Schizosaccharomyces pombe: one gene and its partner. The protein of the gene in region 2 binds, or shares a complex with, the protein of the main gene of each other region. Each region holds a gene or a part of one and is shown on either strand. Other genes may lie near its edges. The genes, in order: acp2 and acp1.

The links.
Region 1: acp1 (region 2) and acp2 share a complex: the UniProt entries of both Schizosaccharomyces pombe proteins name them as parts of the F-actin capping complex.

Annotation. Positions count from the first base shown.
Region 1 is NC_003424.3:2,103,530-2,107,497, forward strand, and holds acp2 (F-actin-capping protein beta subunit acp2), read right to left. Parts: upstream 1,905-3,968; 5' UTR 1,721-1,904; coding exon 1,715-1,720; exon of another isoform or gene 1,518-1,714; coding exon 1,121-1,517; intron 1,072-1,120; coding exon 668-1,071; 3' UTR 501-667; downstream 1-500. Other genes in the region: protein Atg14, read left to right, coding at 1-425. UniProt on the Schizosaccharomyces pombe protein: F-actin-capping proteins bind in a Ca(2+)-independent manner to the fast growing ends of actin filaments (barbed end) thereby blocking the exchange of subunits at these ends.
Region 2 is NC_003424.3:4,583,207-4,587,302, forward strand, and holds acp1 (F-actin-capping protein alpha subunit), read left to right. Parts: upstream 1-2,008; 5' UTR 2,009-2,048; coding exon 2,049-2,118; intron 2,119-2,164; coding exon 2,165-2,358; intron 2,359-2,422; coding exon 2,423-2,929; 3' UTR 2,930-3,330; downstream 3,331-4,096. Other genes in the region: peptidase Icp55, read left to right, coding at 1-351, 413-490, 534-755, 805-912, 957-1,127; succinate dehydrogenase subunit Emi5, read right to left, coding at 1,344-1,470, 1,527-1,819; til1 (tRNA(Ile)-lysidine synthetase family protein), read right to left, coding at 3,378-4,096. UniProt on the Schizosaccharomyces pombe protein: F-actin-capping proteins bind in a Ca(2+)-independent manner to the fast growing ends of actin filaments (barbed end) thereby blocking the exchange of subunits at these ends.

The DNA of each region.
Region 1 (3,968 bases), 2.5 Mb from region 2:
TAAATCCTGATTGTGCTTTAACTTTATCCTTTATTTGTATATTTTTAGCTCAGTATACCAGTATTCCCTTACCATGCCCGCTTCAACTCCCTTCGCCTGATCAAAAACCCATGACTTCATTTTCATCGGAACAAATGTTGTATATAATGTATAACATAGTTTGGATTTCATGGAACTGTGGCATTTTTTCGTTTCCCCGTGGAATTACCCAATCCCAGCTTTTTGAGTTAATGCAGTATACTGGTTTCTGGTTAGTTCAGCTACGTACCAAGCCGCTAACTTCTCAAAAGCCAGATTGGCATTACAAGATGGGTATGGATTTTGACCTTTTTCACCGATTATACCTGGCGCGTCTTCCAATTCCAATAAATTACTCCTCTCTTCGATCACGTTCCTCGTCTAAACCATATCAGCTTATTTCATGACCTTTTTTACATGATCTTCGATTAACAGCTTTCTTATAAAGTCTCTTAACGTATATTTTTTAATGCTATTTATATAAACTTTTTTACTGAACAATTAAATTCAATAATTTCTTTTAAAACTGTTGTAAAAAAATTAGATTATCGGTGTATTTATTTATATTAGTCAATCTTTCTATGACTATTTTCGTTGAAGATGGAACGAATACTATGAGAAGATCACGGAAAGAAAACAAAAAGCAATCCTAAATGGAAAGATCGTTTAAAACTGAACGCAAAGCCGAATCATTTGGTTGGGCATCGGAAACGGGTTGAATGGAACGAGTCTGGTTGATGATATCTTTAGTTTTTCCAAAGTAGACATCCTGGAGGAAGTTGCGCATCCGAGTTTCCATTTCCTCAACCAATTTGCCAACATTAGCGATCTCAGTGTCATCATCTGCCGCTGGTAATCGTTGAGAAGTTTGGCGAGTCAAATGACCTGAAAGGTTAAGAGCTTTGGAAGGCAAGGCAGACTGTTCCTCCGAGCCAGATGAAAGGAAAAGGATAATAGTACTTGTAAGTCGGTAATCATAAACGTTGGTTTCCGTGGTAGGCAGACATTCAAACACGTGAATAGAATCCCATCCGCTTGAGTTAGAAGTAGAAGCTAAATGAAGTTAGAATTATATAATGAAATTGACAGAAAATAAAAATACCCTTTTTTATGAGAACGGCGCCTGCGTAACTATCGTCTTGGTCCCAAAGATAAACGCTACTAACACCGCCCTCGTAATAAAGATCAAGATAGACACGGATTGCTTCATTCAAAGAAACTTCTAATTTACGAACTCGATCAGTAGAAACTAAACCATCCTCCAAAGGAGGATCATATTTATTGCTCCATGGTGAGCGGTACGAATCTCCATCCCTGTTAAAGTCACATAACAAATATTGATTACCTGACTCAGAACAAGTATTTACTTTTAGAGGCTGATCAACAGACGAGAGAAGGACATCAGCTAAATCGGGAGCGACGGAAAGAATTGTGTCTAGGTTTTTAGAGATATCTTTTGGGTTTAATCGTCGGAGTAAATCTAATGCAGCGTCTTCAGACTAAAAGAATAAGTTAGCTGATATTGTAAAGAAGGATAACGACAAAGAATGTGAAAAGCAAATTCATAAAGTCTCTGAGCAATACTGACGAAAATCGATGAAATATGCATTCAATGATAAGATGAATTTACAGATGGCTATATAATAAAAATATAACAAAAAAATTGGGCAAGGTAATTAATTTCAGTAATACTTACATTCATGGTGAGTTGATGATATAATGCTTTAAACAAAAGAATACAACCGGATAGCGATCTCAGAATAAAAGTGAGGCCTTAATGATTATAGGAAGTAACTTTAGATTCGTCGCATAAATTACGAAGATTCTTCACGGTGCAGTACACAAATAGTAGAGGTGACTGACTGGTGGTGAGGTACTTGTACTCTGGTGCTTTCTGCGTAAGTTTAGAAAGTGAACAACATATGGCGGTGAACATTGAACGATGAACCCTCTGGTGATGACAACGTAGCAAAAACCAACCTCAAACTTACTTTATAATCAAACTGGTAATATCAATGAGCTGTTAAAAATAATCAAAAGAAGAGCACATTTTGTTCAAGCGGAAAAAGTCAAGAATTTATTAGATGCTACTGTTGGTCACTTCAATAAGCTGTCTATTTTTCAATATTGAACATTTTCAAGTTAAATTTAGTATTGGCAACGAATACAAAACTTTTCTGTATATCGGTTAAATTCCTTAATACAGAAACAAGGAGAATTATATGCCAAAGTCAATGCTTGAATCGCTTTCTATCTAAAGTTTGGATTTTCTACGAGTCAAACCATGTAAAGTCATAAAAAAGTCAATAACAAACGTCCTTCTTTCATTTTAAGCAATGGTCTTTCATTTTATTTAAACTATGGATCTTTTAAAATCTATTCTTATGTTTATAACCTTAACAAATGCATTGTTTAACTGCTTTTTGATCTTTATCTACATCTCACCTTCTGTTTTAGCATCCACTCAACCTTTAATAACGTTTTACTGTCGTTATGCAGTATGACAACTTACGAATTTAGTGTTCGTATATCTTCAAACTGCGTTCCTTAGAAATAAAGAACATTTAATTTGTTTTGTTAAACGGTTTTCAAATGGAATAGCGCGACTCAACGTTCTAAAAATTTGCGGAACATTAACTGTGATCAAAAATTTTGGGAGAGCCTAGATTTTGCCACTGTCACGTAATTATGTACAAGCGTTCAACTCCCATCTCTCACCGATTTCTGATTCGCAAAAATCACATGGGTTTTTTCATGGTGTGGTCCTTTTAACCAATCAGATTGTAGGACGGTTTCTCAAATGACCGAGAAATGATTCCATTCCGTTCCATAAGATTCTTTGTCCCGTTCGGAGTTCTTGAAATCCCGAGTTCGAATCTTGCATTCTAACTTTTTTCGTATGTTTGGCCATACTAAGACTACTAGCGCACGGCTGAAACCAATTGTGTAAACAAACATTTCTAACCTTGCTTAAACTGGATTGAACCTTTTTGTCAGTACATTGGAGGATTACATTGGATAATTGCACTTTTCCGTATTTCTATCTGTTTATTGTCTTGACAAAGGCTGTAATTACTGTTGTTGTAGCAGTGAGTGTGTGATTACAAACACTTAAAACAGAAAATGTGCTTTGTGGGTTTGAAACTTTTATCGAAATTTTGTAAGAAGTTAACCTGCAATTATTGTTGATCATTTATCTTTTAATTGTATTATTATTAAGTTGTTTACTTGCAGAACACATAGTTTGGCCGAATTTTTTGGTTTTGTTTGTTTACAATAACACCCCGCGATTTGCGTTGCGCCTGATAGCTTTAGCCAGTGGTGACGTAGGAGAAAGATAATTGGTCAGTCGCCCTCCATTGAAATTATCATCTAATCGTTCATCCGCCGCAATGTTGATTCACATCAAAACCCTAACCCTGAGGACAACGGTGACTTATACCAACATGTTTCCTCCTTCCCTCTGCAAACCACATTTTTCCTCGGTTCGACTCTTGAAATTGCTAGTCGCGCGGAAGAGTTCGATATCGTTATTAATCGTTAATTTGTTATAGGGCACTACTTTTTTGTCCCTTTGAAGCCAAGTCGCTATAAATCTTAAGTCATTTGTGCTATCTGTTATTGTTTGGCGCTATACAACGAAGTAAATATTGCATATTGCTTGTTTTAGTGTAATAGGCAGTTTATGCGCGCGTGTGTTGTGAAGGTTAGCCGGCATTAATTTTGTTCATTCTTGTTTTTGTGTACTATTAGCAATTTGATATTCAGTGTTGCTGTGTTGATTGCTGTAGCTTATACGTCAACGTGGCAATTTTGTTTTGTAAGTAGTTTTGTTTGTGTTTATGACAGGTGAAGTGGGTGAGGCAGTGAGGGCAGTCCAACTCTTAATTTGGATTTTTTGCTGGTGATTTAGGATTTTGATATGGTTTGTCGAAGTTTGTTAGAATTGT
Region 2 (4,096 bases):
AACGCTCTAGGAAAAAAGTCGAATAGGATTTTTTATAATTACCAAACCGGATACCTCTCAAAAATGCCAGCTGCATCCGCTCCTGAATTCATACAAGATACGCTTACTAAACTCTTTAGAACCTCAACCCAAAGGTCGGTAGATGAACTTCTTCATCCGCTTAGGAGCATTAAAAGTACGGCTGAATTGGAGTGCATGAAAGAAGCAGCCAATATAAGTTCAAATGTTTACAGGGAAATTATGCGGAAAAGATTTGAGAAAGAAGCTGAAATGTCCGCGGAATTCAATTATCGGTTTTGTATTGGAGGCTGTGATAGATCCGCATATGTGCCTGTAGTAGCAGGTGGAAAAGTAAGTAATCAATTCCTGAAAATGCTGAATGCTATTACTTTAAGCTTTATTAACAAAGAAGAATGGCTTGACTATCCATTACACAATTAATAATGATATATTCCGTCCTGACGAAATGGTTTTGGTAGACGCTGGCGGTGTAAGTGCCTTCAATTTTTTGTCAATTAACACTTGCTTAACAGGAATTCGGTGGTTATGTAACAGATATCTCGAGGACTTGGCCCATCAACGGCAAATTTAGTACTGTACAAAGGGATTTATATCAAGCAGTTCTGAATGTGCAAAAGAAATGTATTAAGTATTGTTGCACCAGTAATGGCTGGAGCTTGGCTGATATTCACTTTGAAAGTGTTAAATTAATGCATGAAGAATTGAAGCAGGTCGGCATTCATGGAACTAAACGGGTAAGTTTGCTACTTCGCAAAATATTCGTACTAACTTCCTTGGCTATAGGAGATTACAGATATATTGTATCCGCATTCAATTGGGCATGAGATTGGACTAGAGATTCACGATTGTTCTACGAATAATGGTTACCAACCGTTGCGCAAAAACCAAGTTGTAAGTTGAAGTTCTTTTCAGATTATTTGCTAAACGGGGTTTAGATTACCATAGAACCCGGACTATATGTTCCAGAAGAAGACGGATGGCCTCAATGGGCTCAAGGAATAGCTATTCGAATTGAAGATAGCGTAATCGTTGGTGATGACAAGCCGTTCGTATTAACTAGTGCTGCTCCAAAAGAAATTGAAGAAATTGAAGCTTTGAAAAAGTAGAGATTGTGTTACCTATTGACTAAGAATTAGGACTACATCTGACTATCGTAGAATAAAAGACATTATTTTTGGACTAAGTTTCTTAGAAGTAAGATTGAAGGGAAAAAAATCTATATATACTGTTAAATTTTAATCATTACACGAATTTTTTTTTAATATTTTATTGAAAAGTCAACGTCAAAAATAAACATTAGTTTAGAGAAACAAGAAACGTTTTCAAAATAGTTCTGGCATTCGAAGTGTATGATTCCTCTGACTTCGACAGTATTTGCTCAATTCCTTGAAGACTTGACTCGATTTCCACTTTTCAGGTGCTTCCCTTTCTCCTGAACACCAGTATAGACTAAAAATTGGACGTTAAAATAGCGCACATTAAGTATATCAAGTTCATTTACTTACATATCCCAATCGGGCTCATCTAATAATTGATCATACTCTCGCAGAAGAGATACTGGATATTTATCAATCTGATCTTTGGCGAAATTAGATAAAAGCAAATCCGTTTCCAATATTCCCCGTTTTCTAGATTGATATTTAAGTCTTGCCAACATTGCGTCTCTAGTCTCGTAAGAGCGATTCACCCTTTTTAAATCACCTTTGGTATGCTCGAAGCGAAGTTGAGGCATTCTATTCATACATCTTGCACTTCTTAGAAGCGTCGTGATATTAGATAAGTTTGTCTTCCTTAACATTGTTGATATTTTCAAATGAACAACTAAGCGATTAACCAGACGACCTCCGAGGCTATATTTACTTATATATGAATAAAAAGAAAAAAAAATTAGGTTATAGCTCCTTTTTTTGGAAGATTTGGTAGACTATACAACTCTTTGGTGATAGTTTTGCGGCATTGTCTTCACCATCCGTATTCGTTTCTTACCATTCACCATTGTCCGCACCACATTATAGAAATTTCGAAAGATGGAAAAGGAGGCAATTTACAAACTCATTAGAGAATCTCCTCCAGGAGAAGTTAATCAAGTAGTTCATGGTTTGTTAAAGTGCTGAATACCTCAACATTCTAATGCATATAATAGATATACGCGACATCGGTCTAAGTGATGAGGAAGCAATTCACGAACAACTGAAGCTTTATCATGAAGACTACAACTCTTCTGTCAGCATATCGGATGACGAAAAAGTAATTATTTCAGCTGATAATCGTCTAGAGGGCAATCGCTATTATGATCAAGTTTTACAGAAATCATTTACCATTAATTATGAAACTATGGTAAGGTTAAATTTTTCAAATCTTTTTTTTGTGATAATTGTTAAATAGCTAACAGTATTCATAGGAAGCTGAAAACGTTGAAGATTATACCGAAGCCATAAAAATTCCCGATGAAATAGTAAAGCAAATTAAAAAGGTTGCTTCGGATCACTATCTATCTGATGTAACATTTGGAATCATCAAAAAAAGCGATGAAGTGGAATCGTTTACAATTGTTTTGGTTTCTTCAAAGTATAATCCCAAGAACTATTGGAACGGTTCGTGGCGCTGTATATGCAATTACAACGTTTCGGAAAAGAAACTGGAAGGCAGGTCGCATATTCGTGTTCATTACTATGAAGACGGAAATGTTTGGTTGGATGCATCCCGTCCTATTTCTGCTACAGTCGAGGAGACCAGTAAGCTTTATGAAGTGTTGGCTCAAGTCGAAAATGGAATTCAACAGTCCTTCAACGTTGAACTTTCTTCACTTAATGACAAAAAGTTTAAAGAATTGCGTCGTCAACTTCCAGTCACTCGCCAGAAAATTAATTGGGAAAACGTTAGTGGCATCCGTATGAGAAATACTTGAAACACTTATATGTGTTTATAAATTTTGGAAATTTTTTTGCGACGATATTTTTTAAGACGGTGATTCAAGCTGTTTCCTTTTCCTTCTTCCTAAATACATATACATTGTCGCTCGATATACGACTAATAATTACTAGTCGTTTACTTTCTAAAACTTTACAAGAGCAACTCACACGCTCTTTTCTTAAACTCTTATAAGTTTTAGGAAATTATTTTTTTACGATCAATAATACAAGTTCTTCATCATTTTTTTACCGCTCGTCACCAGTAATTTAAGGGCGTATTACTTTTTGTGTGTAAGCATCAGTCGTGCTATTTATCACCAGAATATGCTCTGAGCATCTGACTTTCACCTCTGACTTTGTGATAATATAAATAAATAATGAGGCATTATTAAATCACAAATCTTGTATCTCTAATTAACATTGATTTCATGGTTCAAGCAGCAATTAAAGCTTGAACTTGTGTAGACAGTTTGAGATAATATCACTTCTAAAATTAAACCCAAAAGTAGGTATTCCAACTAACTTATCGTTTTCTTCCGACAAGACTGGAATAGTAAACCTGATATGGCCCGGAACTTGTATACAAAATTTAAGAAACTCTTCCTTACTCAAAAATCCCTTCAATGAATTTAGATCTTTGGAAAGCAACGGTCTAAGTATAAGTGTAGTCTGTGTATTTTTGCAACTGTACTTTATCCAAAACCTGTGATCCCATAAAACATAACGATCAGGATTTATGGTTATAGTTTTTTTTTTCAATTCAGCTTTACTAAATGGTTGTCTGGAAATTTGGAGTTGTAATTTAGTGTCGTCCTTTATAGAAGAGGAAGTGAGTAGACATTTAGCAATTGTTAGCTTTTTTCCATCAAAAACTGAATTACAAAGGCTTACAACAGAAGATCGTTTAATCTGTCTGCAACTTGTAGTCAATGTTAGACACCTTAAGAGCAATTCTTCCTTAGTAAGATTAGAGTGCTTTTTGAGCTCATTTTTTGAAAAGCATAAAGATAATGTACCAGATGGCTGATGGTAGCTCACAATATTATCTTTTAGTATTTCATCAACTTTATTATCTATGTTCACCTGTAAGGACTGAAACGCGGTAGCTAGTTTTGTAGCCTCTACGGTCAATGCGGCATGTTGGTTTAGAAATCTTCGTATTG